7 linked regions of the Macaca mulatta genome follow. The protein of the gene in region 7 purifies or fractionates together with the protein of the main gene of each other region. This does not show direct contact. Links are inferred from orthologs where the notes say so. Each region holds a gene or a part of one and is shown on either strand. Other genes may lie near its edges.

Region 1 (3,875 bases), on a different chromosome or scaffold from region 7:
ACAAAGTACATTAATTTTAACAACTGCATTTTTAAAAGGGTGGGGTACTGAGAGAAAAAGCTAATTTTATGAAGCAAAGCATCTTCTAAAAAGACCCTGAATACCTGAATAAAGTTTTATTACTAAGGACTCATATTTAAGTTAACTTTCAGTTGCCAGAGAATTACGATGGCAATGAAAGCAGAAGGGTGATTCAAATTAAACTTGGACAAAAACAAAACATTCTTCATCCGAAGCTGCTATATCATCCCAAATTTAGCAATCACTTCAAGTCTAAAAAATATTAGCCCTTAAATATAAAGAAGGTATTAGTCAAGAAAATGTTAAATACATCTGGCAAAACTGATAAACACGAACTCTATATTAGTCATTTGTTTCTTTTTTCCTTTGTAAATACTTCAACATACACAGTAATAGTGACATCTGCTGAGAAAGGCTGGAGTTGCTCCCATGACTGCTGCCACTCATGAGTCAGAAGCATGTTCAGGATTAACAAGTGAAGATAATTCATATTCCAGAGTCCCTTCCCCCCTTCAAAAGAGACACACACAAATTCCGAGTTGGGACTTGAACTTGGCCTACTGCTCCCACCCCAAAGCAGCATAACACTTTAGCCTTAGGCAGTCTCTGTGGGGAGACTGGACTATTATAAATGATACCCAGAGTTAAGCTATTAATAGGAACAGAAATGATTATTTTTAACTCCCACATTGATTACCATTCTTTTCGTCTTGGGAATCAGAAAAGCAACTTAAAATAGAAAAGTTCTTTTAAAACTTTTTAAAGTATAAGTTGAATTCAGCTACTTAAGCAGTTTCAATACCCACAGAAAACTTAAACATTTTAAAATTAGAATCTTATCAGTGGAACTCTTGGGCTGGCTAAAATGCCTTAAATAACAGCAGGGTATCCATACTCATATGCACTTCAGTTTGCTACACAACTTCTACTCCTGCCATGAGGAATGTGGTACTTAAAAACCACACTGATGCCTGAAATCACGAGCTAAAGGCTTTGGACTTCCATTAACAAAAATCAGCTCCGTCACTGAGGTCTATTTTTCCCTTCCCCAGGAAAAAGGGAAAACATTTCTTAAATGTATGTGAAAACCTATACTAGTTTAGCATTAGCTTTTAAAAACAAGAGCTTCTTCTATGACACTGGCAAATGTGTTATTCTTTAACCTCCACAATGGTTACAAAGATGCTCACTGTAAATGACCTTTTAAATTGTACATGTTTTGTATATTCTTTGACATGAACCATGTATTTCACAATTAAAAAACGAAAAATCGGCCAGGCATGGTGGCTCACGCTTGTAATCCTGGCACTTTGGGAGGCCAAGGCGGGCAGATCACGAGGTTAAGGAAATCAAGACCATCCCGGCCAACATGGTGAAACTGTCTCTACTAAAATACAAAAACTAGCTGGGCGTGGTGGCATCTGCCTGTAATCCCAGCTACTCGGGAGGCTGAGGCATGAGAATCGCTTGAACCAGGGAGTCGGAGGTTGCAGTGAGCCAAGATCGCGCCACTGCACTCCAGCCTGGTGACAGAGTGAGATTCCGTCTCATAAAAAAAGAAAAAAAAAATTGAGGTAAAAATCAACTATGAAATTGGCCACACAAATTTACAATTCATTTTTAATGCACTTACCATTTCAATGTAATTACTCAGCTCCCTTAACTCCAAGTTACATTAGATATACAATACAATAATAATTCAGACCAAATATAAAAATGGAATGCACCTCACTACTAATGTGGCTGTCTGGAAGGAAATATTTTAAGATATTAAGAAAAAAGAAAAAGAGAAATATGAAGAGCTTAGTTATTGATAAAAAGTCCTTAAACTTCAATGAGATCACCATTTTTTAAAGAATTTATTTTGGCCAAGTATGGTAGCTCACACCTATAATCCCAGCACTTTGGGAGGCTGCAGCAGGAGGACTGCTTGAGCCCAGGGGTTTGAGACCAGCCAGGACAATACAGCAAGAACTCATCTCTAAAAAAATTTTTTTAAATTAGGCAGTCGTAGTAGCATATGCCTGTGGGCAGTCCCAGCTACTGGGGAGGCTGAGGCAGGAGACCTGCTTGGGCCTAGGAGTTCGAGGTTACAGTGAGCCACTATGGCATCACTGCACTCTAGCCTGGGTGTCAGAACAAGACCTTGCCTCAAAACAAAACAAAAGAAAAAATAAAAAGTATTTATTTTGTTATAGCTCCAACAGTTCCCAATAAAGAACACCCTTCAGGATCTCTCCTAGGCATCAACTGTAGGAGAGTTGATAAAAAGAACCCATTTTAAAAAAATGAAATGCAGAATGTTACCAGAAGATAAGCTGGAATTCTCCAATTTGTGAACACGACCCAAACTGAAGGCCACAAAAGAGGGTGAAGTAATGGGGCCGGGGAGGGGAGGAGTGTGTGTGTGTACATTAATCCCATCACTATAATATGTATGTATTTCAAAATTTCAAAAACATATACATTGTGGAATCTGCACATCACCACCAGAGGTCATTAGTGGAAGAGGATGAAGATTGCAAAAGGTGAGAACACACGGACACACAGGGGAACGATACACACTGGGGTCCGTCAGAGGCTGGAGGGTGAGAGGTGGGAGAATCAGGAAAAATGGCTACAAACCCTCCATGACACAAGTTTACCTGTGTAACAAGCCTGCACACGTAACCCTGAACTTAAAAGTTTAAAAATAAAATAAAAAAACTTCAAAAGCGATGCCTTTAAATAGAATACCTAACCACAACTGAGCTTTATTGTGTTTGGGCCCCCAGGAGCCACAGCTTGGGGAGCTATAAAATTAGCAAACAGAAGAGCAGGAACACTCTTTATTTCAAAACAGCAACATGTGCAGCATTTTTTTAAGATAACAGAAGAAACTCATTATTACTACATTAAAGAATTCCAGGATTGGTGCATCCTTTAAATCCATCAATCAAAAGAGAAAAAACGGACAACTGCACATTTCCTTTTTCTTCATACTTGTCAATAAAATTTCACTGTCCGATTTCCAAGAAAGATAAAAATTATTAGTCACTTGAAATAGGTGATTAATATACTGAACTATGCTTCTGTCATTTCTCATAATAATCATATTGCTATTAAGATATGTATAAGATGCACAGTGCAGCTTGACTGTTTGACTTACCAGGATATTGTCTGGCTTGATATCTGCATGTAGGATGTTGCATCTTTTAAGGAGTTTCAATGCCAGGAACAACTGCTGACTATAGGATCTTACAGCTTTAATATGAAGACCAACATCTTTACCATATTTTTTTAACACCTCTCGTAAGTTCATACTTTTAGGAGAAAATAAAACACAAAAAACAAAATAGGAGTTAAAATGCAAAATGGAAATATAAAAAGGCAAAAACATTTGCAAGCGTAAAGTACAATCAAGTGCAGAATACAAACAATAAAAATACCTAAGAACCGTCCCCACATTTGATAAATTATTTTATACTGAAAAGAGAGCGTATCAAATTGTATGTATATAACACAGTTTCCCAATAAATTCAATTTTCTAAATAAGTAGGAAGAAAGATAGGCAAGGTAAAACTCCCATTTCGATTTCAGAATAGATTCACATTTGAAAACACAACAAAGCCATACTGTTGAAGATAAAAATTCCTTGAAATATTTCATTTTAAGAGACTCTCTCTGTTGACCTATGGGCTCCATGAGAGTAGTGCCTGGTGTACAGTATAGTCAACTAACGTTTGTAGATTCATGATTCAAAAGACTAGCTGGGATTACGATGGCTCACATCTGTAACACCAACACTCTGGGAGGGCAAGGTGGGCAGATCAATTGAGGTCAGGAGTTCAAGACCAGCCGGGCCAAGATGGTGA
Region 2 (3,875 bases), on a different chromosome or scaffold from region 7:
AGAAGAATAGGAAGAGCAGAGCTCTCATCATTTTCAGAAATGAGCTCTTGTGTCCATTCTAGAGGAAACAGAATACTGACCTCCTTCTTTCCTAGTAGGAAAAATTCACATTTTTTCAGAAAGACATTTATCTGAACAAAATTATGTGCTGGGCTGGGTGTAGTGGATCACTTGAGCCCAGGAAACATGGCAAAACCCTGTCTCTACAAAAAATTAGCCAAGCATGATAGTGCTTGCTTGTAATCCCAGCTACTTAGGAGGCTGAAGCATGAGGATTGCTTTAGCCTGGGAGGTGGAGGTTGCAGTGAGCCGAGATTGTGCCACTGTACTCCAGCCTGGGTGACAGAGTGAGACCCTGTCTCAAAAATAAATAAATAAATAAATAAATAAAAATAAAAATAAAATAAAAGAAAAAGAAATAAATAAAAATAATGTGTGTTAATTTTTCCTGTTGCCTCCCCTTACCAAACTTTAAATGGCTCTTCGATACTGGAAAAATAAGAATATACACTTTTATATAATTGCAAGTGTTTTCCACTCTTACTTCTCCTTATAAATTCCTATGTACTTCTTCTTCCAATACACAGCATTTTGCAAATTGTTTTAAAAGGGTTGGAGAACCCCTGAAATTCCATCATAGATCAAGAACTTCTGATTTTGATAGTTAATAAAAACCAATATTGAGGTAACCCCAACATGAAAATGAGCATCAGTCTGCAAGACTGAGTTAAGTAAGTTGTTGCAGATCACGGCAGGAAAGTTGGAGAAAGAATTCAAAACTTGCAAAGTTAATTAATTAAATTGTGTCTTTCTGCACTAGGTATTTCTTGATCAGGTTTTCCATTTAATAACTTATCAATCGCTTTTGCTATCTATCCTAAGGTGCTACAAATACAGATTAAACCCAAATCTGAAGTTTTAAAAATACACACACACATATATATACCCAAATTGAAGGACATTCTATAAAATAAATGGCCATTGATCCTTTGAAAAATGTTAGTCATGAAAGACAAAAAAGGCTAAGGAAAGATTCCAGATTAAAGGAAACTAAAGAACATGAAAAATACATGCAATAAATGATCCTATACTGGAAGGAAAAAAAAATGTGATAAAGGACAAGATTAGGACAATTGATGAAACTAGAGTATAAACTGTAGATTATAATATTGGAACAATGTTAAATTGATAATTTACTGTTTTAAACAACAATATACTTGTTCTTAGGAAATATATGCTAAAGTATTAAGGAGTATGGGCATGAAAGTACTGATCAGAAAAAGATACACACACATACAAATGGAGACAGAATGAGAACGTAAATGGGGCAAAATGTTGAAAATAGCTGAATCTGGGAAAGGGGATATGAACATTCCTTGTATTATTCTTACAACTTTCTGTAAATTTTAAATGGTTTCAAAATAAAGCTAAAAAATACATATATACTTTACCTCTGTCCAACTTAATCCCATCATCAAAACGGGAGAAGAGCCTGTACCTCTGGGCCCAGTATTTTGCCAGCTCAGGAACAGCAGCTATTTCAGGAGGCAGACCATTCACCTTTTTGTTCTTCTTCTTGTTCTTCTTCTTTTTAACTTCAGCTAAAATAATAAAGAATATAGATGCTAAGAAAAAATTAGTATCACAGATGAGTTTATCTAAAAATGAAGCCACACCAAATAATTACAAGCAGAAGATGTATATAATGACACGCCCAGAGAAATAGGAAAGCCTGATGGAAATGCCATTGGTTTCAATCACTGCCAGCACTTTGCTACTCATTGGCTTTGTAAGCTTGGAAAAGTAACCGAGGCTCTTTAAGCTCCAATTATTAATTCCTATAAAAGGAATGAATGGGCAGAGCGCAGTGGCTCACATCTGTAATCCCAGCACTTTGGGAGGCCGAGGCAGGCGGATCACCTGAGGTCAGGAGTTTGAGACCAGCCTGACCAACATGGTGAAACCCCATCTCTACTGAAAAAATAAAAAAAATAAAAAAACTTAGCCTGGCACGGTGGCAGGCGCCTGTAATCCCAGCTACTTGGGAGGCTGAGGCAGAAGAATCGCTTGAACCTGGGAGGCGGATATTGCAGTGAGCTGAGAACTGAGAATGTGCCATTGTACTCCAGCCTGGGTGACAGAGCAAGACTCTGTCTCCAAAAAAAAAAAGAAAAAAGAAAAAAGAATGAATTAGTTAGTGAGTAGTATTTAACCAACTTAATTCACAGCAATGATAGGAAATATGTAGAAATACTGCTATAGACATAAAAGTTATTACTTCTGTTAGCCAAGATACTGCTTTATGTGGTGAATTACAGAATCTAAACATTTCCTTTCTATCAAGGACTAGATTAGGCTCTAACTCTCAGCCACATCAAAGTCACCTGGCATCTGAGAACCTGAAACAAGGGTCACCAGCTCTATTCCATAGAAAACGATCTCATTCATTCAGAGACTGATTTTTTCCTTAATTAATTTTTATCAGTTTGGTTATTTGGTTTCAGTCCTCAGCAAATTAGAAGCAACAACATAGACAGATGAGACTCTTTTTCAGAGTTAAGTATAAAAACAAGAGGTGATGGCTAACAAAGAATAAGACTCCATTACACACTCAAATGGTCCTCAAGGATTGGGCTATGTCCTAATACATTTATCTTATCATTGTAAATAGTAAAAAGTGTCATCATGAGTCAGTAAGGTCAGATCTTCCCATCCCCAAAAGTGTCACCAATAGCAAAGTACGGTGATTATTTCTCAACAGGGAGTATAATGACATTGTGGGTGGAATAATTCTTTATTGTGCAAGACCATCTTGTACATGACCTAACATTAAGTAACTGAGTACTAAATGCCAGAATTTCTAATGTCATTCTAACAACCAGCATCTTCCAAATGCCTCTATGAAGGTGGTACTACCCCAGGTAAGAACAACCAACATCATGAGAACTGGTGTTCATGGAAGTGGGGTAGTGCAGGAAAATGGGACTTAGCAATCGGAGAAAGCTGGTAATGAGTCCTAGCTATGCCACTTACTTGGGTTAATTTTTATATTTCTCTCAGCTTTTCTTTCTGTATTTCCAGAAGGGAAAATAATTCCACCTACTTCCTTGGGCTACCTTACAGATTAAATGAGAATAAGGCACATAAAAGCATTTCAGAAACCTACAAATGTCATATGAACATCAGTTATTATAACATTGATAATAAAAGAAATGTAAACTACTATAGGTATGCTGTTTAGAATGTAAAGAAATAAGTGATAGATCAGAGATACACACGCAACCACACTTGCACTAAGAAAAAAAAAAAACAAGACTCAAGTTTTTTTCCATAGTAATAAATTAAGAAAAATGATGATCACAATAAATATAATGTTTCATAATACCATTATTAAACTATATAAGAGCTTTTGTTATAAAAATTCTAATACAAAAGTGCATAAATTGAAGATATTACTCAGTTCATTCATTAGAGCCAACTACTCTGAATACTTTTTAAATTAATGTGCCATCAAAAACACATGACCATCATCAACCACACACACAAAATAAAAAAATATCAAAAAGAAAACAGTCCGAGCATGATGGCTCATATCTGTAATTCCAGCACTTTTGGAGGCAAAGGTGGGAGGATTGCTTGAACCTCTGGCAACCAGCCTGAGCAATATAGTGAGACCCTGGATCTCTACAAAAAAAATTAAAACATTAGGCAGGCATGGTGGTATGTGCATGTAGTCCCAGCTACTCAAGCTGAGGTGGGAGGACTGCTTGAGCCCTGGGGGTCAAGGCGTAGTGAGCTGTGATCGCACCACTGCACTCTACCCTGGGTGACAGAATGAGACCCTGTCTCCAAAAAAAAAAAAAAAAAAAGGAAAA
Region 3 (3,875 bases), about 47 Mb from region 7:
ACAAGACATCTCAATGACCGAAAATTTGTTTTTGAGTGGGATGCATCTGAGGACACATCCATTGACTACAACCCCCTGTGAGTGGCTTCAGGCCTGAATTCTAGGTCTTTTCCACTAGGCAGTCCTAGAGAGCTGATGACTACAGAGGTGGAGGAAGTCAGACAAGCCGGGATGGAAAATTGGTAGACTGGTAGTCAGCCAGCCCTCTGGTGGAAGAAAGACCCTGTCCAGGAGGAACTGTTTCATATTAGTAGTCTGCCCTTCCCTCCTACTGCCATAACAGCTGCTTCTTTTTTCTTTTCCTCTGTCTCAATCCCAGGTATAAAGAACGGCACCAGGTGCAGTTGTTAGGGCGAGGCTTCATTGCAGGCATTGACCTCAAGCAGCAGAAACGAGAGCAGTCACGTTTCTATGGAGACCTAATGGAGAAAAGGCGAACCCTGGAAGAAAAGGAGCAGGAGGAGTGAGTGATCAAGGCTAGGGTGGCTGGACAGAGCCCAGAGACTCTACAGAAAGGAGTTGGAGGGCACTGATTCTACTTACTCCTCACATCCTGCTCCAGGGCAAGACTCCGTAAACTTCGTAAGAAGGAAGCCAAGCAGCGCTGGGATGATCGTCATTGGTCTCAGAAAAAGTTAGATGAGATGACGGACAGGGACTGGCGGATCTTCCGTGAGGACTACAGCATCACCACCAAAGGTGGCAAGATCCCCAATCCCATCCGATCCTGGAAAGACTCTTCTCTGCCCCCACACATCTTGGAAGTCATTGATAAGTGTGGCTATAAGGTAAGGAGGGGTAGATTGGCCCAAAAGATCTGAAATGTTCCTGCACTAGTTTGGGAATAGAGAACTTTGTTCCTTGACTATTTGGAGCCATCCCTGCTATTGGGTACCAATGTGACCTTTTCTGTCACTTTCTGGTAGAAGCGTCAGCTTTTAGTGATTATGTTTCTTCTTGGGGTCCCCATTTCTGTGCACTGTACTTGGCATCCTTCCATTGCACTAGCAGATATGCTTACTACTATCAGTGGTAGCCCAGGTTGTATAATTCTGCCTGTACCTATTACTCTTTCTCGGGGTCACTGCAGGAACCAACACCTATCCAGCGTCAGGCAATTCCCATTGGGCTACAGAATCGTGACATCATTGGTGTGGCTGAGACTGGCAGCGGCAAGACAGCAGCCTTCCTCATCCCACTGCTGGTCTGGATCACCACACTTCCCAAAATTGACAGGTGGGGTCAGCTGGCACCAGCTGGAGTGGGTTTGTCTGGGTAGGAAAGGTGAAAGTGGCAAAAGAATGTGTGTTTTTTGTTTCACGTCTATAATCGGAAGCTTGCTTCTTTATTCTTGGTTCGATATTAGGGAATAATTGGATCATGATATCAAAGAATTATATGTTGCTGGCAAAGACCTGGAGAACTTTGCTATCCTGGAGTCTCTGATTTTTATTTTTTTATTTTATTATATTTATTTTTTTGAGACAGAGTCTCACTCTGTCACCCAGGCTGGAGTGCAGTGGCACGATCTCGGCTCACTGCAACTTCTGCCTCCCAGGTTCAGGTGATTTTCCTGCCTCATCCTCCTGAGTAGCTGGGAATTACAGGCATGTGCCACCACACCCAGCTAACTTTTGTTTTTTTGTTTTGTTTTGTTTTTTTGAGATGGAGTTTTGCTCTTGTTGCCCAGGCTGGAGTGCAGTGGCGCAGTCTCGGCTCACTGCAACCTCCTCCTCCCAGGTTCAAGTGATTCTCCTCCCTCAGCCTCCTGAGTAGCTGGAATTATAGGCACCCGTCACCACGCCCGGCTAATTTTTTTGTATTTTTAGTAGAGACGGGGTCTACATGTTGTTCAGGCTGGTCTCTTAACTCCTGACCTCAGGTGATCCGCCTGCCTCAGCCTCCCAAAGTGTTGGGATTACGGGCATGAGCCACTGCGCCCGTCCTTAATTTTTGTATTTTTAGTAGAGATGAGGTTTCACCATGTTGGCCAGGTTGGTCTCAAACTCCTGATTTCAAGTGATCTGCCTGCCTTGGCCTCCCAAAGTGCTGGGATTACAGGCGTGAACCACTGCACCTGGCCGAATCTCTGATTTTTATTTATTTATTTATTTATTATTTATTTATTTTTGTTTTTTTGAGATGGAGTCACGCTTTGTTGACCAGGCTGGAGTGCAGTGGTGTGATCTTGGCTTACTGCAACCGTTGCCTCCCAGGCGCAGATCCTCCCACCTCAGCCTCCCAAGTAGCTGGGATTACAGGTGTGTTCCAACATGCCCAGCTAATTTTTGTATTTTTTGTAGAAACAGAGTTTTACCATGTTGCCTAGGCTGGTCTCAAACTCCTGGGCTCAAGTGATTCACCCACCTCAGCCTCCCAAAGTGCTGGGATTATAGGCTTGTACCATTTTGCCTGGCCTCTGGACTTACTTTTTTTTTTTTTTTTTTTTTTTTTTTTTTGAGACAGAGTGTCTCTGTCAGGCTGGAGTACAGTGGCACGATCTCAGCTCACTGCAACCTCCATCTCCTGGGTTCAAGCAATTCTCCTGCCTCAGCCTCCCGAGTAGCTGGTATTACAGGCGCCGGCCACCACCCCTGGCTAATTTTTGTATTTTTATTAGAGGCAGAGTTTCACCATGTTGGCCAGGGTGGTCTCAAACTCCTGACCTCAGGTGATCCGCCTGCCTCAGCCTCCCACAGTTCTGGGATTACAGGTGTGAGCCATAGCGCCCAGCCCTGGCCTCTGATTTTTGAGTGAGATCATTTCATTCTTTTCTCATCATCCTCCCCATTCCCATCGCTTCCCCTAAGAGTGACTTTGTCTTGCTCTGGCTTGTGGTTGGATAAGAACCAAAGCTCACGAAGCTGTGGGATGCCCCATTTACCACAGAATCGAAGAGTCAGACCAAGGCCCTTATGCCATCATCCTGGCTCCCACCCGTGAGTTGGCTCAACAGATTGAGGAAGAGACCATCAAGTTTGGGAAGCCGCTAGGTATCCGCACTGTGGCTGTCATTGGTGGCATCTCCAGAGAAGACCAAGGCTTCAGGCTGCGCATGGGTTGTGAGGTTTGTTTTTCTATCTAGCAGCCAGCCTGCTGTCTGGGAAGGCTATCTTGGGGCTTTGTTTCTAGTTTCTGGAATAGATGTGCAGTAGAATGAAGAAAGGAGCTGGTTTATATGTATGTGCTATTTATTGAGAACTTATGCACCAAAGTTTATATTACAAATAGTATATATCATATATATTAGCTCATTAATTCTCACAATAATGTGTGAGAGTAGGTAGTGATATTTCCTTGTTATAGATCAGGCTGAGGTTCAGGTTAATAACTGCCTGAAGTCACAAACAGCTGGCAATGGGCAGAGCTGAGATTCTTATCCATAGCCTGTGCTTTTAGTTACTCTTTACTCTGCCAGACCAAATCTTTGACTTTGTGCATTGCGTTCATCTCAGGAAAGTGGAGGAGAGCTTTTTATGAGAAATCTGCTGTAGAAATTTAGAGTTTTTACTTTTTTTTTTTTTTAATTTAGTCTTTATACAACCCCCTTCATGGTATCCCTTAGTCTCTCCCATCTAAGAAAGTTGCTTCTTCAGGATCTGAAATGATTTGCCAAAAAAAAAAAAAGTTTCTACTGATTTTGCCTCCTCTGTCTAATCCCTGCATCTTACTCAGAGACCTCATTCGTTCCTGAGAAAATCCAGGCAACAAGTGATTTCATGCTGGTTTGCAGGAGCCTTTACTGCTAAACATAACCAGAGGTTGGGGTCCAAGTTCCTCAGCATTGGAGGTCTGTCACCCAAGTGGGTGGATAGTTCACAGGAAAGAAAAGAAGGGGCACCTGCTGGGCTGTAAGTGATTATACTGTACTACTC
Region 4 (3,875 bases), on a different chromosome or scaffold from region 7:
AGGGACAGGGTCTCCCTACATTGCCCAGGCTGGTCTCAAACTCCTGGGCTCAAGTCATTCTCCCATTTTGGACTTGCAAAGTGCTGGGATTACAAGTATGAACCACTGCACCCTTTTAAAATTAGTATTTCATTCAAGTTCCAGATCACTGTAATGTGCAGCCAAGACTGGGAACCACTGTTCTTGGCGATTATGGTCATCAACCAGTCGGGAAACCACTATTCCTATATACCTGCCAAGACTGTTTTTGACTTAATGCACTACCCTTAGTCGGCATTATGTGTTCTCCCCTCTATTACACTTTTCTTCCCTTGTTTAGAAAAAGAAAGGGGAAAGAAGAAAGATACTTCTATTGCTATCTATGTCAAAAGAGACTCACTTAAGACTTTAAATGAGAGGTCTGCTACTCTTTAGAATTTACATAGTAATCCAGACATCTTAATTTTCAATATAAGTACTTTTTAAAAGAAAAACATGTCCTTTGCCCAATTAAATTTTAAACATATTATAAATACCTAAACCAGATACATTATACAACGGAAAGCATGTTATTGAATTAAGTTTAGGAAATATACAAATAGAAGAAACAAGACTGTATTCTGAGTTAAAGTAAATAAACACATTCTCTAAGTAAGTTGACCTGATTCACTAACTTTCCCTCAAAAAATTATATAACCTAAAGGACAGCACAGAAAATTCAACAACAAATCTAAAAACACATAAAAGATTTTTCAATCTATACAAACAATTTTAGAAATATTTCATTTGAATAAAGTGTAAAAAAGTATTGCTTAACCTGGATCAACAGGTGGGGGAAGGACAAACATTTCTAAGAAAAAAATAAAAAAACACTGCCCCAAAAAGGATACGACAAGAAAGGATACACTTTGCATGACAGTATTACAGCAGTATTTACGCAGGAATGCTTCTAAAGAAGAACAGCAGAATGCAGTTTAATTTTTTTTTCTTATTTTTCAGCACCAGATTTACAAATAAATGATTTTTAAAAATACAGACTGAAATCCATCTTTCCTCTAAAGTGTTTATAAGACTTGTGACTACCCAGTATAGACATACAACACAATTCAAATATTCAAGCCATCTCAGAGGGACTAAACATTAAACAAAATTTTCTCTTATTTATTCATATTTGTCAATTAAACACCAATTGTGATTGTGACCAATTTACTTTATGTTCTTTTAGTTTACAGAGGAAGAAAAATTTAAATAAAAAACAAAGGAATATATTTCCACTTATTTCTTGAACAATGTAGCAAACATTAACATTTAAAATGCTTAATTCTACCATACTTAATCATCAAATTAAGTATGCACTAAAATTACTTGTTTTAAAGACAAAAAAAAGATGTAAGTCCACAAACATGTATTGTTGTGAAGTGTGTTAATAGTTTTATATACTCAGCACTGTTGAAAAATTTTTTTTTTTTTTTTTTTTAGTTGGAGTCTTGCTCTGTCGCCAGGGTAGAGTGCAGTGGTGTGATCCCGGCTCACTGCAACCTCCGCCTCCCAGGTTCAAGAGATTCTCCTGCTTTAGCAGCTCATGTAGCTGAGACTACAGGTATGCACCACCACACCCAGCTAATTTTTGTATTTTTAGTAGAGACGCGGTTTCACCATGTTGGCCAGGATGGTCTTGATCTCTGGACCTTGTGATCTGCCCACCTCCACTTCCCAAATTGCTGAGATTACAAAGGTGAGCCACCACCCTCAGCCAGAATTATTTTTAGTAACAGTTTGACTTTTTTTTTTTTTTAACTTTTTTTTTTTAACATTTATTCTAGGTTAATTTTAAGAGTTAGAAAATGTATCTGTAAGTGTTTATCCAAGGAGTTTTCAAGCTGTGGTCTCTGGATCAGATGCCTCATGATTACCTGAAAACTCATTAATTTTGTAAATTTTCAGGTGCCAACAAGGGTGACCAACTCGTCCTGGCTTGCCAGACACATTCCCCATTTCGGCACTAAATGTCCGGCTTCCTGGAAATCCCCTCATTAAAAGGAAAACTGGTATAACTAGCTTCCCTAGGTCCCCACATCAGACCTACCAAATCAAAAACTCTTTCAGGGAAGGAAAGAACCTACATAATTGTGTTTTATTAAGCTCTCCAAGTGATTATGATACATATTAGAGTTTAAGAACTATTGATTTACTATAGGCCGAAAAATTAAAAAAAAAGTAACTGGCACACTCCCCTTATAAGATTCATTCTCCAAACTTAACTTTTACATATAAATGGGTTTTAATCTGTAGTTATAGCTTTGAAGTTTAATGGGACTTAACTGCACAGATAGATATTTCCTTAAAAAATACATAAGAGATACCCGAATTACTACTCTATCAAACTTTTATTCTTAATTGTATCTAAAGAATTTGTCTTGTCTTATTACATTTTATTCACACTTACCTTTATTAATTTTTAACTCTTTTTCCTTCCTTAGGATGTTGTTTTGGTCTAGCAGATCGAGCAAACTGCTAATAATTTAAAATTAAGGTTTCCTTCATGAATATGCAAGTAATCTTTTCTAAATAATTCTCAAAAACGTTCTAATGTATGGTGAGAGTATGGTTTTTTAATTTACCTTGAGTGTCTCCTGACTCCATGACTTAAGAGGAAATTAATAATTAACTTTTCCTTTATAGTCATTATTTTTTATACCTGGGCCTTTGCTTCTTTACCTATCTTGCTGATTTCTAGTTTGCAAACTGCATTGATTACTAAAAGCAAGATGGTTCATCAATGATATACTCCGGTTATTAAAATTCTCATGTAGAAATATAAATTACAATAAAATGATAAAATGAATTAGTTCTTTTATGACTCCAAATGTACTTCTGGATACTCTAGTCTCTTCGCATAACTGTGTACTTTTGAGCTGCATAAGTGAAACACTTAAAACTTGGCTAAAATTGAACAACTTCATGCTGCTGAAGCTCCTTTACTAAAAATCTAAATAACACTGTCATTTGACTCAGTAAGGTGGGTTTAACTGTAACTGAATGAATATCTACTGCTAGAATGCCAATTGTGGAAATTTCTAAAGGGTAACATGAAAATTTATTTCAGTTATACCCTTCTAAAAATTATAGTTTTGAAATAGATGGATTTAAAGGATACAACCACCATGGGTTTTCCAAAAAGCACATATCCGTTAGCTTCCTTTAAGGCTTTTGTTGCTGCTTTTTCATTAGGAAGTCCAATGAAAGCTTGTCCTTTCATACGACCTTCTTTCATCAAACGTATATCAAACCTAGAAGGAAGAAAAGAGCTTTGATTCAAAGAATGTTAGTTTCAATGATGTGAATGAAAATGTGTTGGACAATTTAAAATGTTACTATTTCAAATAAAAGTGACTGAAACATTTGATAGGCACGTCAATTATTCAGTTTTCTAAAAATGTATTTCATGTTCTTGCACTAAAACTGATTCTACAAGTAGGTAGTATTTAAGATGTTTTTAACTATTCTCAACTATCATAAAAGTATGTGATTTAAAAATTATGCTACTAGTAATAAGAAAAGCAAACTTCCCTTTTTTTTTTTTTGAGACGGAGTCTCGTTCTGTCACCCAGGTTGGAGTGCAGTGGTGCAATCTCGGCTCACTGCAAGCTCCGCCTCCTGGGTTCATGCCATTCTCCTGCCTCAGCCTCCGGAGTAGCTGGACTACAGGCACCCGCCACCACGTCTGGCTAATTTTTTGTATTTTTCGTAGAGACGGGGCTTCACTGTGTTAGCCAGGATGGTCTCTATCTCCTGACCTTGTGATCCACCTGCCTCGGCCTCCCAAAGTGCTGGGATGACAGGTGTGAACCACGGTGCCCAGCTGCAAACTTCTTAAATTATTATTTATCTCAATT
Region 5 (4,538 bases), on a different chromosome or scaffold from region 7:
AAACTAACAATGAGCAATGCCCTGTACTCTCTCATAGAACCCAGACCACTGGGTGGACTAGCCCCAGCTCTACTTCTAATGGACCTCTGGTACCTTATGCAACCTTTCCTCCGGGGTTTCCTTATTTATTTGTGCTTGAACTAAGTGAGTTCTACACAAACACCTCCAACCCTGCCACTGCCTGTCCAGCTCTACATTTCTGATTCTTAATGTGCATACTTTTACAAGACTTTCTTTTTCATTCTATTCTCTTACCAAATATACTTCCGTAATCTTGTGTACTAGGCACCGGAGACACAAACGAACGGATACGTCTCTGGACCCCAGGGTCTCACAGTCCAGGGCAAAGAAAAAGATGAACAAGTCACGGCAATGTGCTAAGTGCTATAGTTAAGATATGATAAAGGGGCTAAGGTAGAATAGGAGGAAACGCGCAGTGAGACTGAAGGACCATAGTGTTTGGAATGGGGGAAGGAGGCACTAGGCAAGGGATTTCCAGGCAGAAAGACTAGCGTGGGCAAAATCTTCAGAGGAAGAAAGAAAATTTGGCTTTCAGGGCTTTGTAAAGAGTTCAGCATGGGAGAATAGCAGCCCTCACATGCTACCAAAAAAACTTAGAAATTACCCACTGGACAATACGGTGTCTTTGGGCAGGGAAGTGATAGGACGCAAGTGGAATTTACAAAGATCATTCTAGGTGCCCTGTGGAGAAAAGAATGGGGTATAACACTGGGAGACAAGAAAGGAAGAAGTAGAAATATCAGTTAGAAAGCTACAACTGTCTGAAGAGAAATGATGAGAATCTGAACTAAGCAGTGGCAGCAGAAGAGAGAGATTTGATGAATATCATTGAGTTAAAGTAGACAGGACCCACTATCCAAAAGAAGAGGCTGAAAGAGAAAGAAAAGAATAACTCCTGGGAGAAATAAGGAAGATATGAAGCCTGCACCAGTGAAAATAGTGAGGAAGGAGTTGATATGAGATAAATTAATGAAACAGAAATGTTAGAATCAATTGAATGACTAGCTTCAGGGGCTGAGGAAGAAGGAAGAGAAAAGGATACCTCCTTTGTTCTTGGCTTGAACTAGTGGGTGGATCGTGGGATCATAGATCAAAATGGGGAAAACAGAAATGGATTTTGAGGGAAAGAAAATAATTTTTCAACACACTGAACTGGAGGTGGCTGAGTGCCAACCTGCAAGAAACAAATGTACAATTACAGTGGGAGATTTTTATATACCTCTCAAGGTTGTAAGCTAGCAAGGAGGATAGAACTGGAAATAAAAGGATAGCAAACATGTGGCACTGTTAAAAGGGCTTTACATCTTTTATGGCAATTCTTATAATTCTGTTAGATCGGTACTACTGTTATTCCTACTTTACAGATCAGTAAAAATTAGGTGCTGAGCATTTAAGCAGCTTATCCAAGGTCCCCAGGTGGGTAAGTGCTGGAGGCAGGATTTGAATTACAGTCTTAATTCCAGAGCCTGTGCTAACCATTTCACGGTGTTCACCTTGAGCTAGGGGCAGCACAGACTGAGGTTGAAGGTATGGAAGAATATGTGGAATGCAAAGAGGACCAAGAGCAGAGTCCTAGGAAACACCAGTATTGAAAAGAGTAAAATAATTGGAACAGAATGCTGAGTAGAGCCCCATGGAAGCGAAACGGAGAGAAAGTTTCAAGAAAGAGGAACTAATGAACAGTGTCATTTGATGCAGACATTTAAGTCAGATGGCTGAACCTGACAACTGCAAGGCCTGGGACATCACTCACAGACAGTTTCCCAAGAGGGTAGGGCCAGACTGCATCGGGTTGAGGAGAAAATGAGATGAAGACAAAAAGAGAGCTCCAAAAAGCTGAGCTGTGAAAGGAGAAGACTCAGGAGGTTACTGGAGGGGCGTAAGTTTGGAAAGTTTTGTTTTGATAGGAAGTTAGGATTCTAAGCATTCTTTCATGCCAGATGCCCATTTTTAAAAAGTAAAATTCACAGACAGCTTGTTAAAAATCTGTAAAACACTCCTTAAGTCATTAAACTAGACTTGGGGACATGATACAAAGGAATTTTTGGACACCGCCTCCCATCTTCACATCTTGAGCTGATCACCTACCTCGGGCTCTACTGGGCCTACACTATCAATTGGTAGATGCTCTCATCAGGCTCTAGACACATCAGCTTTTCCTCAGTTCTTCAAACACACTAAGCTCTTTGCCTTCTCAGGCTTGCCTGTCACCTTTGCCTGGAAACTCTTGCCTGAATCAGCTTCCTCCATTGAGATCATGCAGCTGTTTCTCAAATCCAAGGCCTTTTTCTCACTGTATTAACATACATAATCATAAAACATTTACTGCACTCTCACTAGTTACCAGGCTCTGTGCTATATGCTTTATTTGTGTAATTTCACTCAATTTTCACACTCATCTTCTCATGTAGACAGGTGTTTTGAAAATGATCTCCGCTTGTACAGGTGAGGAAAGAGAGGAGGCTGCATAACTTGCCCAAGTTCACATAAGTGGTGGTGCCAGGATTAGAACCTAGTTTTTCAAAAATAAAACAAATCGAGGCCACTGCTCACTTCAAGTGAAGGTACAATACTCTAGTTTGGGAAGTCCTGATCTAATTTTATTTATGTTCCGAGATTACATCTGCACTTTACAGGCTATGTCCCTAATTCACAAATTCAAATTTCACCCCCTCTTTCCACTTGCTTTCTGATGGCGGGAGGTAAGGGCAGAGAGCATCGGGGGGCTATTCCGAACTTCCAATTCTGCTTCTCCCGAGGATGCATGTGGGAAGGAGAAGAAATTCAAACGTTAGCAACTTATCTCTGAGCAATGAGGTAAGCCGGGACCTAACAAGCGGCTGGCAGTTTTGGAGCTGAAGCCAACAATTCCCACACCGCATCAGTAGCAAAGGTGCTTACCTTAACTGCCACCTCCGGAGCCGAGTCCACTGCCACTGCTAGAGACGGCTTGGCTGAAGGCGATTTAGTCAAGTGCATGAGGGAGTCGGCGGCTGGCAGCGGACATCGACTGCTCTCACTGTCCGAGTCCGATTCGGACCCTGAACCCGAACCGTAGGAAGCGGCCAGAGCTGCAATCGCAGCCGACATGACGGCAACAAATCTTCTGCGGGGACCCTGTCAGGGCGGAAGAAGAGGAGGCTCCCAGGTCCTGACAGATTGCCATGGAACACATCATTAACTTTCTTTGCTAAGAAATAATTTCTTACATTTTAAAACAACAAGCTAATTATTATTAGAATAACTACTGTCGAAATGAGAGCTTAAAAAAGTTTATCTAGGGAAAAAGAGAGAATTATAATAGCTTATAACTTTCAGGACCTAGTTGACTAAAGAATACGAGTTCCAAAATACCTTGAGGCCTCGCGGTCCTGCACTCCCAGCGTGCAGCGCGGCAGGAAGCACCAGAGGGCACAATGGGAAGTGTAGTTTGGAACGAGGGGGCGGGACGGGGGCGGGTCCCTCCTTGACCCCGCCCCCGAATGGATGTTCCATTCAATTGGCTGTCATCTTCCCTCATTCCCTAGCCAAGCACTGTTCTCTCCGTCCCCCTCCCCCAAACTGAGGATTGGGCAATACCACAGAACCTCAGGAAAGGGGGGAAGAGCGAGCTTCGGCCCCACCGATGGAGGAGTGGGCCGAGGCTGGGTTTCCCACCTCGACTGCACCTGGGCACTCGAGGGTGAAGAGGAAAGTGAGAATCTGAAGTTTTGAGACCTCTGACTGGCCGGGAATAGCTCCTGGGGCACGGGGCAAGGATGGGACCATAGCCGGAGAGAGTCCCGCGGTCCCCCCTGCTTCTGGCGCGGGTCCCTGCGTCCGGTTGTGGAGCGTCTCGCGCGGGGAGGGGGCGGGGGGAGCGGCAGCTCGCGGTGTTGTTCACTCGCGCGTCGAGCACACGGTGGGTCCGGCGGCCGGTGGGCGCCCCAGGCGGCGTTCCCAGTGGCCTGGCGCCTCGGCCGCTGTCCTGAGCGGGTTCCGCCCCAGAGCCCGACCCTCCTGGGAGCCCTAGGTGGAGTCCCGCGAGCCGAGGGGGACCGGCGACCGCTGCCGAAGCATGAAGAAGGGGTAAGCGAGAGCCCCCAAGATTTCACGGTGAGCGCGAGTCCCTGAGGAATTGCTTTTTTCGGGGAGGGGGTGCTGGGAGAGGAACTCTTCCTCACCGGCCGGAGCAGACCGAGGGGTGTGTGGCCCGCATAGGTGACGGGGATGGATGGGCGCGCCTCCCCCGCCCCGGCCCCCACCCCCATCCGCGGGTTTCCCGAGCGCCCACCGCCCACCCGCCAGCCGGGCTGGGTGCAGAGGGAGACGGCGGCGGGCGCGCCCGGGGTTCGGCTGCAGGGACCGCCCCGGGGCTGCTTTCGCCGGAGAGACTGCGGGTCTCACCTGAGGTGCCACCGCCCGGGCTTCCCTGCCCACCCGCGCCCACGGTCCGCCCCGTGCCTCTTTCCGGGGGAGGCGGTAGCCCCGGGCGACAGAGAAACCTCTGCTCGCTCTACGTGCCTGGAGCTTAGTAA
Region 6 (3,875 bases), on a different chromosome or scaffold from region 7:
GCCTAGGCTGGGCGCGGTGGCTCAAGCCTGTAATCCCAGCACTTTGGGAGGCCGAGACGGGCGGATCGCGAGGTCAGGAGATCGAAACCATCCTGGCTAACACGGTGAAGCCCCATCTCTACTAAAAAATACAAAAAACTAGCAGGGCGAGGTGGCGGGCGCCTGTAGTCCCAGCTACTCGGGAGGCTAAGGCAGGAGAATGGCGTAAACCTGGGAGGCGGAGCTTGCAGTAAGCTGAGATCCGGCCACTGCACCCCAGCCTGGGTGACAGAGCAAGACTCCGTCTCAAAAAAAAAAAAAAAAGTGGCCTAAACCTTTATCTCTGCAGCCCAAGTGAGGTAAAAGGCATTGATCCTATGACAGATAATTTATTTGCCTTAGGCTTCTTTCTTGATCCAGAGCTTTTTTCCACCATGCCAACCAGAAGCTCACAGGGTAATTGTGCTTTATTTTATTTTATTTTTTGAGTTGGGGTCTCACTTTGTCACCCAGGCTAGAGTACAGTGGTGTGATCACAGCTCACTACAACTTTGAACTCCTGGGCTCACGCCTTCTGCCTCCTGGTATGCCTCTGCCTCTGCCTCCTGGTATACCACCACACCCAGTGCACGTGTGTGTGTGTGTGTGTGTCACTATTTTGCCCAGGCTGGTTTTGAACTCCTGGCCTCAAGCAGTCCTCCCACCTTGGCCTCCCAGAGCCACCACAGCCAGCCTAATTGTGCTTTAGACTTTTGTCTCAATTGTGTTGTGAGAACTGATACATTGCTACTGTTTCAGAGTAACTGCTTTTGGGAGTATTTTTTTTTTCTAAACAGTAGGTGACTGTTTTTCAGAAAGATAATTTTTCAACAAGAGTTTCTACTATTAAAGGAAAGGGAAAATATATATGAGTTTATGTATGTTAAGTTCATTAGAGTTACTCTTCTAGTTAGAGTTCTGGCCACATTTTATGTAATATTATTTATATGTTTGTTAAGGAGGTGTCTGGTCCTGGAGTACAGTGACCCTTACATGACTGTGACTATCCAGATGATCTGTAGGACTAACCAAAGAAACCACTTTTACATTTACTTTAGGTAAATCATGTTGTAATAAAAAGTAGGTGCGTTACTAATTTACAAGTTGAATATGACCATGGGCACAGTTTATTCATCTAAAAATTTTCTTTTATAATTTTTTTGTTTTTGTTTTTGAGACAGGGTCTCACTGTTGCCCAGGCTGGAGTGCAGTGGCATGATCACAGCTCACTGCAGTCTTAACCTTTCCAAGTTCAGGTGATCCACCTCAGCCTCCTGAGTAGCTAGGACTACAGGTGCACACCACCACACCCAGCTAATTTTTGTATTTTTTGTAGAAATGGGGCTTCACTATGTTGACCAGACTGGTCTTGAACTCCTGGACTCAAGCTGTTCGTCAGCCCCAGCCTTCCAGAGTGCTAGTATTACAGGCCTGAGCCACCACACCCAGCCTAAAAGGTTTTCTAAAACATTGATTTCATCAAATTTCCTGACAGCTCAGGAATTTGGACAATTTCTTAGCATGCTGTGTAGCAGAAGTAACCTGATGGTGCTAAAGAGTTTGAATAGAAACATAGTAAGGTCTCTGGTACTAAATAGGAAGGAGGGGAAGGGAAAGGTGATGTATTCTGTGTGCATGGTTAGTATGGATATGTTTTAAAATACATCTGAGGTCTCTCTCCTCTTTTTTTGTACCAGGCCTGCCCATCCAGGTTCGTGACGCAGGATTATCTTTTAAAGATGACATGCCAAAGTCAGATGTCAACAAAGAGTACTATACACAGAATATGGAGAGAGAGGTATGCTGCCACTTTTTGGGTAAAAATCCTAATGAATTGACACAGTCTGTATAATTTATCTTTTGAATTTGTCATCCTCACTTAGATTTCTAACTCTGATGGAACACGACCAGTTGGCATGCTGGGGAAAGCCACATCTACCAGTGACATGCTGCTCAAACTGGCCCGGACCACACCCTACTACAAAAGGAATCGACCCCACATTTGCTCCTTCTGGGTGAAAGGAGAGTGTAAGAGAGGAGAGGAATGTCCATACAGGCAAGAGCCGAGCCTCATTTTCAGTATTTGCTTTCAGATGATTTCTCATCTAAGAAATGGGAGGTGCTAGCTTAAACTGTTTCTGCTTTAAAATCTAAAGGTCATACAACCAATGTGGTGTATCTGATGTCTTAGAACTATGAAATTTAGAAGAGCATGAATAAATTGTAGTTTTTACTTACAATTGAGCCTTGGAAACTAAATTGCTATGCCATACAATATGGATGCTGGCCTTAAACATTTCTACCTGAGAAGTACATCTTCACTGCCATGATTTAAACACTTGACTCTCAATGTATAGTTGAAGTCAAAGTAAGGTCAGACTACTAAAGGGTGTGTATGTTTTGGTTAAGACTGCCAAGCATCTGTATTAGGAGTTCTTAAATTTGGGATTAGTTAACCCTACCCCCTAAAAAATAATATATGTGCTTTCTCTGGAGCTAGGTCCATAGCTTTAATCAGATTCTCAGTGGAATACAATACCCCAAATGTGTTAAGAATCATTGACCTAGAGAGGGGTAATCATGTGTCCCTTTCTAGGGGGCAGGAGGGGGCGGATCATGTCAAGAGTTTTTATTTATAAGGAAAGTTTGGCATCCTAGATGGCCTAATGGCTTTTAGGAGGCTAGGAATTCCTTTTGTCATACAGTAAATCTCTTGGTATTAGGTCTATTTTGGTAATTGTATTTTGGTAGAAACCATAGTTTCTAGTTCAAAAGGCACTTCAGAATGTGTATCTAGGACTTTAATATGTAGCTATTCTTGGAAGATACCATTTTTTCACCTTTGTTTCACCTTTATGCCTTGTTTTTTTCTTGAATCATAGACATGAGAAGCCTACAGATCCAGATGACCCCCTTGCTGATCAGAATATTAAAGATCGATATTACGGAATCAATGATCCTGTAGCTGACAAGCTTCTAAAGCGGGCTTCAACAATGCCTCGGCTGGACCCACCAGAGGATAAAACTATCACTACACTATATGTTGGTGGTCTAGGTGATACCATTACTGAGACAGATTTAAGGTTTGTGGGTATAAGTTAAAGAGTTATTTTTGCCTTTAACTGCCCTGGGATAATTTATTTGCAAAAACTGCAAGGATGATCATTCTGTACAAAATCCATTTTTCTTTAGTCTCTCTACTGTTAGTATCATGCTGACTGGAATTTTTGTAAAATTGTCCTTTATGGTGCCACAGTAATAATGTGCTTATCTGGCTGGGCACAGTGCCTCATGCCTGTAATCTCAACACTTTGGGAGGATCTCTTGAGCTGAGGAGTTTGAGACCAACCTGAGCAACATAGTGAGACCCCATCCCTCTTAACAAATCAAAAAAATTAGCCGGGTGTGGTGGCTTGTGCCTGTAGTCCCAGCTGTTTGGGAGACTGAGGCAGGAGGATGGCTTGAGCTTGGGAGATCAAGGCTACAGTGAGCTGTGATTGCGCCACTGCACTCTAGCTTAAGCAACAGAGTGAGACCCTATCTCAAAACCAAAGCACAAAAAGTGCTTATCCATCCTGGCGTATGGTAATAATGACACAGAATTCTATTTGACCTAACAGCCAGGTTTTAAAGGATGGCACGCATCCAAGTATGATTAATTATGTAGAGGAGGGAGAGCTTTGTGATGATAAAACTCTTATGGTTTAAATTGTTGGCTTTTTAAAGAGACTGGCATTTGATACATTTGTATTATTTTTGGCTTGTATTATGCTTGGCTAGATGAGACATCTGGGCAGATAGTAATGGAAATTACCTCTTCCAAAGAGATAAAGTGGAGAAGAAACTCCTGTAAGTTT
Region 7 (4,059 bases):
AAGATTTCCACAATTGTTGAAAGAGCCTGACACATAGTAGGAACTCAAAGTCTGTACAAAGACTTAAAGTTCATGAAACAATATACAAACTAAGGAAGAAATCCACTTAAGTTTAGGGTGAATAAATCTAATAACTGTTTGGTAAAAACTACACTGACAATGACTGTCTTGTCAGTGTTCAACACTTATGTGAAACACTGAGCTTTTACAAGGCCAAGCCCCGTTTTAGGTTAAATTCTCGCAACCACGCTGAGGATGGTTCCGTTTTTAAAGCCGCGTTCCTGCCGTGGAAACAGTGGCCCTGAGGGTTAAGACACTGCCCAACACCGGCTGCGCCTGATAGACGCAGGTTCCGAATGCAGGCCCTCTCCAAAGTCTTGCCCACTGCTCCACAGTGCCTCAACAACCAACATTTCATCCTCAACCTCAAATCCATCTCTTCAGGGCCGCAAAAAAGCGTTACTTCCCAAAGGGCGTGTTCTCCAAGAACTGCATTTAGCATTTCAGATCAGAGTGAGCCGAACTCACTAGGATTACGACAAAAACCAGTGAGATTCAGATAACACCGTTACGTCGAAAGTTTTAATCCGTGACAGCGGAAATATTGCTTACGCCCTTAGGTAATTTCAAATGCACGTAAGAAGGCCGTGCCAGTCTCTGCTGGCGATGCAAAAGAAAGATGGGGCCGGCGGGGTCGTGGGGGGTGGGGGGACATGACACCGTATCCCAGACACAACCTGACCTCGTTTAAAATAAATTCTGTATCCGACTCCCTTCGGTGCGTTTCACCGCCCCTAGTCTTGTCTGGCTACCCCCGAATTCCTTTAAAAGGGGTTGAAATGGGTGTTGCAGAAGAGAGAATACTCAGGTAGAAACGGCCTGCGGCAGAGGCGCCCCCAAATCATGGAACCTGTTGGAAGAGTGAGGAAGGAACTCTGGGATCCTGAACATTCTCACGGGTGTAAAAAGACAAAGTAAAATCCCCATTAACCAAGTTGGGGAGAAGTCACATCCGTCACACAGCCTCTCCCAGACCGCACATTTACAACACCGGCCTGCCTCCAGTCCTTGGCTGCCTCACCTTGCTCCTCAGAGCGGGTTTCCCAAGACCCGCGCGCAGCCGGCCAGGCGCAAACTCAAGCCGCTGCTGGTTGCCAGGAGATACTGGTCCAACCATCTCCTCCAATCAGCGCGCATCTCTTTTCGTCCAATCACAGAGGCAGGAAGGGCCGTGGTGGGAGGTGAAAGGTCACACTCCTGTTTGGCGGCCATTTTTCTTGAAATTCAGCGGCTCGGGACCTGGGGTACCTGCTGTAGTCACGAGGGACAAGCGGCAGCCTGGTCGGCAGTGAGTAGCCTGCAATATTCGGCCGTGGTTACGATGGTAAGGAGAACGAGAACGGCGGGAGAAGCGGGGAGAAAGAGAAGGAGGGAGACCACCTCGCGGGGCCTAGTGGTTGCTTCGCGCGTTTCCCATTCATCCGCGTGAGGCGCCGCGCACCCGGTCGCCAGCTTCTTTCACTCTGCTTTTAGGATTTCTGAGGCGCGTGCTCCTCCCGATGCCTTTCTTTTTCTAGGAGTGCCCGTGCCTTCTCCTCTTTGTTTGAATCCGGGCTTGGGATATTCTTATTTGTGGCTACAGGGTCGGGGTAAAACTCAAAGAGAATTTGCACTTCCCACTTAACCACACTCCAAAATTCACTTTCATTGCATGAAAGTAATGATACGGCCATGCTCTAGTTTAACTCGGTTGGGGAAGACAGACAGTCAAAAAATAACAAATATGCAATTGCAAGTAATAAGTGCTAAGAAGAATGCAGACAGGAGGCTGTGAGGGTGCGCGTTAGACATTTAGAGGCTTAGTCAGAGATGGCCTCCCTAGGAGGTGGAATTTAACCTGAAGCCTAAGTGTCATGAAATAGACCCTTTAAAGAGCAGGAGGAGGAGTGTACCGAGCACAGAGAATAGGCGCATAAGACCTGCGGCCGGAAAGAAAGCTTGGTCAGTTGGAGAAATTGACAAAAAGGTACAGCCACTTGCAGGAAGAGTGGTTACGAGATGGTGTCGGAGGAGCAGGCGTTGGACAGGACCTCTTAGGCTGTATTGGGAGGTTTTGATTGTACTCCAAATCAATTGAAAATGATTGAGTTGGAAGCCATTGAATCATTTTAAGCAGAAATATGACAATTTGATGTGCACTTTAAAAAATCATGTTGCTGTGGTGGATAATAAATTGGAGAATGAAAACTGGAGACCCATTAGGTTATTGGAGTAATCGCCGCATCAAGTCACTCCGAATATGTTTATGTTAGAGGGGGTTAGTAGCCAAGTTTCTTAGTTCTGTTCTTTCTTTGACTGGTGAGTGAGCAGAAAAAGGCAAAAACCGAATTCACTGGAGATGTTAATGGTTTGCTGAGCAAACTTTAAGTGATTGCTATAAGAGGCAGTGCTAGTGACAAAGTCATTTAGGACCTAGCCCTAGCTTCCACAGTTAAAGACTGTCAAGCGTCATCTGCCCTCTGCTTCCTTCTGTAGTCTTATATTTGGGACTTTGACTGACAATGCTGAATTGTATGTCCCCAAAATCACCTTGTTGCTTCACTCTTCCCTCCTTTTACATAAGTAGCTAGCCTTGCCTGGAACAGGATTTTTTCCCGCTCTGGAAATAAATTCTCATTCTTTAAAACTGAGGTTAACTTATTTCAGGCAACCTTTCCTTTTTTCCCTGGATTGCTTCGGTACCCTTGTGCCTAGTATATCTCCTCTTATTATGTTGCAATATGCAGTATAATTATTTGTATGTGAGGAGCCCCCCTCCCCATCTCCAACTTCTTGACAGGGACTCTGTTATTTATTTATGACAAGGTCTTGCTCTGTTCCCTAGTAGCCGGGACTACAGGTGTGCACCACCACATCTGACTATTTTTGGTAGAGAAGGTGGTCTCACTATGTTGCCTGGGCTGGTCTTGAAATTCTGGCCTCAAGTGATCCCCCTGCCTTGGCCTTCCAGAATGCTGGAATTACAGATATGAGCCACCCTTTCTGGCCCGCATTTTTTTTTTTTTTAAGTGCCTTTATCTTTGTTTCTTTAGAGCTCAGAACAGTAAGTGATGTATGTAGTCGGTGTTATCTTAAGTGAATAGTGAGTATTTTGTTTTGATGGGTTAAAGGTGATACTGGCTAACTGGATATTTAAATTTCCCTGGTACTCTCCAATAAATGAAAGTGAAAATTGTGTACTAAAATAATGAGTCAAGAGTTTTCTTCATTTGCATACCACAAAATATTGGTATTTAGTAGAAGAGAGTTGGTGGTGGGAGGAAAAATAATTAATTGGATCCTTTTTTGTTCTTTGTGCAGAGTTTACCCCTCAATCCCAAACCTTTCCTCAATGGACTAACAGGAAAGCCAGTGATGGTGAAACTTAAGTGGGGAATGGAGTACAAGGGCTATCTGGTATCTGTAGATGGCTACATGAACATGCAGGTAAGCTAAAGAGCTGTAAAGGTCATAACATTGCATTTAGTTTGCTTCACCTTATTGCTCAAAGGTTTAGTCTGACTAATAAGAATACATACAATTAAATTGACAAATGTACGGCAAAATTAAAAAATAAAGTCAAAGCCAGGGAGGATACTATGATATACTAGGTACAAGACATGGACTTAAACCAGAATTCAGCCACAGATTTTATTCCTAGTAGTTAAAGTAAGAAGAGCTCAGACATTTAATTCATAATAATACTGTAAGGGAAACACACTACTTTGCTGGAGAAAACAAAACATTTCTCATCATTTAGCCCTGAAAGAAAGTTTTCAAGTGAAATTCATGAGTCTTTTAATGAATGATGCTAAAGGCACAACACCAAAGTTATTGAGGAAATTCATTCCTTCAGGGGAAAGACACATCTGCCGAAGAAATTGAACTGACTGTATGTCTGTCAAATGAGTTTCTGTAAATGATTCAGCCATGTGTTTTGGTGGGGTTTTTTTTGTAATTAATTTTCTTTTTATTGTGGTAAAATATACATTACAATTTTGCCACTCTAACCATTTTTAA

Evidence for each region.
Region 1: the proteins of SNRPF (region 7) and PRP4K purify together in Homo sapiens (co-immunoprecipitation; 3 studies listed by BioGRID and IntAct, with this or other methods). This does not show direct contact. The link is inferred for Macaca mulatta from reciprocal best matches to the Homo sapiens genes SNRPF and PRP4K.
Region 2: the proteins of SNRPF (region 7) and TGS1 purify together in Homo sapiens (co-immunoprecipitation; 3 studies listed by BioGRID and IntAct, counting the BioPlex papers as one, with this or other methods). This does not show direct contact. The link is inferred for Macaca mulatta from reciprocal best matches to the Homo sapiens genes SNRPF and TGS1.
Region 3: the proteins of SNRPF (region 7) and DDX23 purify together in Homo sapiens (co-immunoprecipitation; 3 studies listed by BioGRID and IntAct, counting the BioPlex papers as one, with this or other methods). This does not show direct contact. The link is inferred for Macaca mulatta from reciprocal best matches to the Homo sapiens genes SNRPF and DDX23.
Region 4: the proteins of SNRPF (region 7) and RNPC3 purify together in Homo sapiens (co-immunoprecipitation; 3 studies listed by BioGRID and IntAct, counting the BioPlex papers as one, with this or other methods). This does not show direct contact. The link is inferred for Macaca mulatta from reciprocal best matches to the Homo sapiens genes SNRPF and RNPC3.
Region 5: the proteins of SNRPF (region 7) and CDC40 purify together in Homo sapiens (co-immunoprecipitation; 3 studies listed by BioGRID and IntAct, counting the BioPlex papers as one, with this or other methods). This does not show direct contact. The link is inferred for Macaca mulatta from reciprocal best matches to the Homo sapiens genes SNRPF and CDC40.
Region 6: the proteins of SNRPF (region 7) and RBM22 purify together in Homo sapiens (co-immunoprecipitation; 3 studies listed by BioGRID and IntAct, counting the BioPlex papers as one, with this or other methods). This does not show direct contact. The link is inferred for Macaca mulatta from reciprocal best matches to the Homo sapiens genes SNRPF and RBM22.

Annotation. Positions count from the first base shown.
Region 1 is NC_133409.1:179,185,674-179,189,548, forward strand, and holds part of PRP4K (serine/threonine-protein kinase PRP4 homolog), read right to left. Parts: intron 3,324-3,875; coding exon 3,170-3,323; intron 1-3,169. UniProt on the Homo sapiens protein: Serine/threonine kinase involved in spliceosomal assembly as well as mitosis and signaling regulation. Connects chromatin mediated regulation of transcription and pre-mRNA splicing.
Region 2 is NC_133413.1:66,444,060-66,447,934, reverse strand, and holds part of TGS1 (trimethylguanosine synthase), read right to left. Parts: intron 1,602-3,875; coding exon 1,452-1,601; intron 1-1,451. UniProt on the Homo sapiens protein: Catalyzes the 2 serial methylation steps for the conversion of the 7-monomethylguanosine (m(7)G) caps of snRNAs and snoRNAs to a 2,2,7-trimethylguanosine (m(2,2,7)G) cap structure.
Region 3 is NC_133416.1:55,993,957-55,997,831, reverse strand, and holds part of DDX23 (probable ATP-dependent RNA helicase DDX23), read left to right. Parts: coding exon 1-77; intron 78-319; coding exon 320-463; intron 464-562; coding exon 563-788; intron 789-1,090; coding exon 1,091-1,236; intron 1,237-2,889; coding exon 2,890-3,067; intron 3,068-3,875. UniProt on the Homo sapiens protein: Involved in pre-mRNA splicing and its phosphorylated form (by SRPK2) is required for spliceosomal B complex formation.
Region 4 is NC_133406.1:136,789,054-136,792,928, forward strand, and holds part of RNPC3 (RNA-binding region-containing protein 3), read right to left. Parts: intron 3,270-3,875; coding exon 3,137-3,269; intron 2,494-3,136; coding exon 2,431-2,493; 3' UTR 2,426-2,430; intron 929-2,425; 3' UTR 1-928. UniProt on the Homo sapiens protein: Participates in pre-mRNA U12-dependent splicing, performed by the minor spliceosome which removes U12-type introns. U12-type introns comprises less than 1% of all non-coding sequences. Binds to the 3'-stem-loop of m(7)G-capped U12 snRNA.
Region 5 is NC_133409.1:15,228,486-15,233,023, reverse strand, and holds the start of CDC40 (pre-mRNA-processing factor 17), read right to left. Parts: upstream 3,130-4,538; 5' UTR 3,112-3,129; coding exon 2,923-3,111; intron 1-2,922. UniProt on the Homo sapiens protein: Required for pre-mRNA splicing as component of the activated spliceosome. Plays an important role in embryonic brain development; this function does not require proline isomerization.
Region 6 is NC_133411.1:159,661,376-159,665,250, reverse strand, and holds part of RBM22 (pre-mRNA-splicing factor RBM22), read left to right. Parts: intron 1-1,715; coding exon 1,716-1,816; intron 1,817-1,901; coding exon 1,902-2,074; intron 2,075-2,900; coding exon 2,901-3,101; intron 3,102-3,875. UniProt on the Homo sapiens protein: Required for pre-mRNA splicing as component of the activated spliceosome. Involved in the first step of pre-mRNA splicing.
Region 7 is NC_133416.1:103,187,300-103,191,358, forward strand, and holds the start of SNRPF (small nuclear ribonucleoprotein F), read left to right. Parts: upstream 1-1,259; 5' UTR 1,260-1,381; coding exon 1,382-1,384; intron 1,385-3,360; coding exon 3,361-3,486; intron 3,487-4,059. UniProt on the Homo sapiens protein: Plays a role in pre-mRNA splicing as a core component of the spliceosomal U1, U2, U4 and U5 small nuclear ribonucleoproteins (snRNPs), the building blocks of the spliceosome.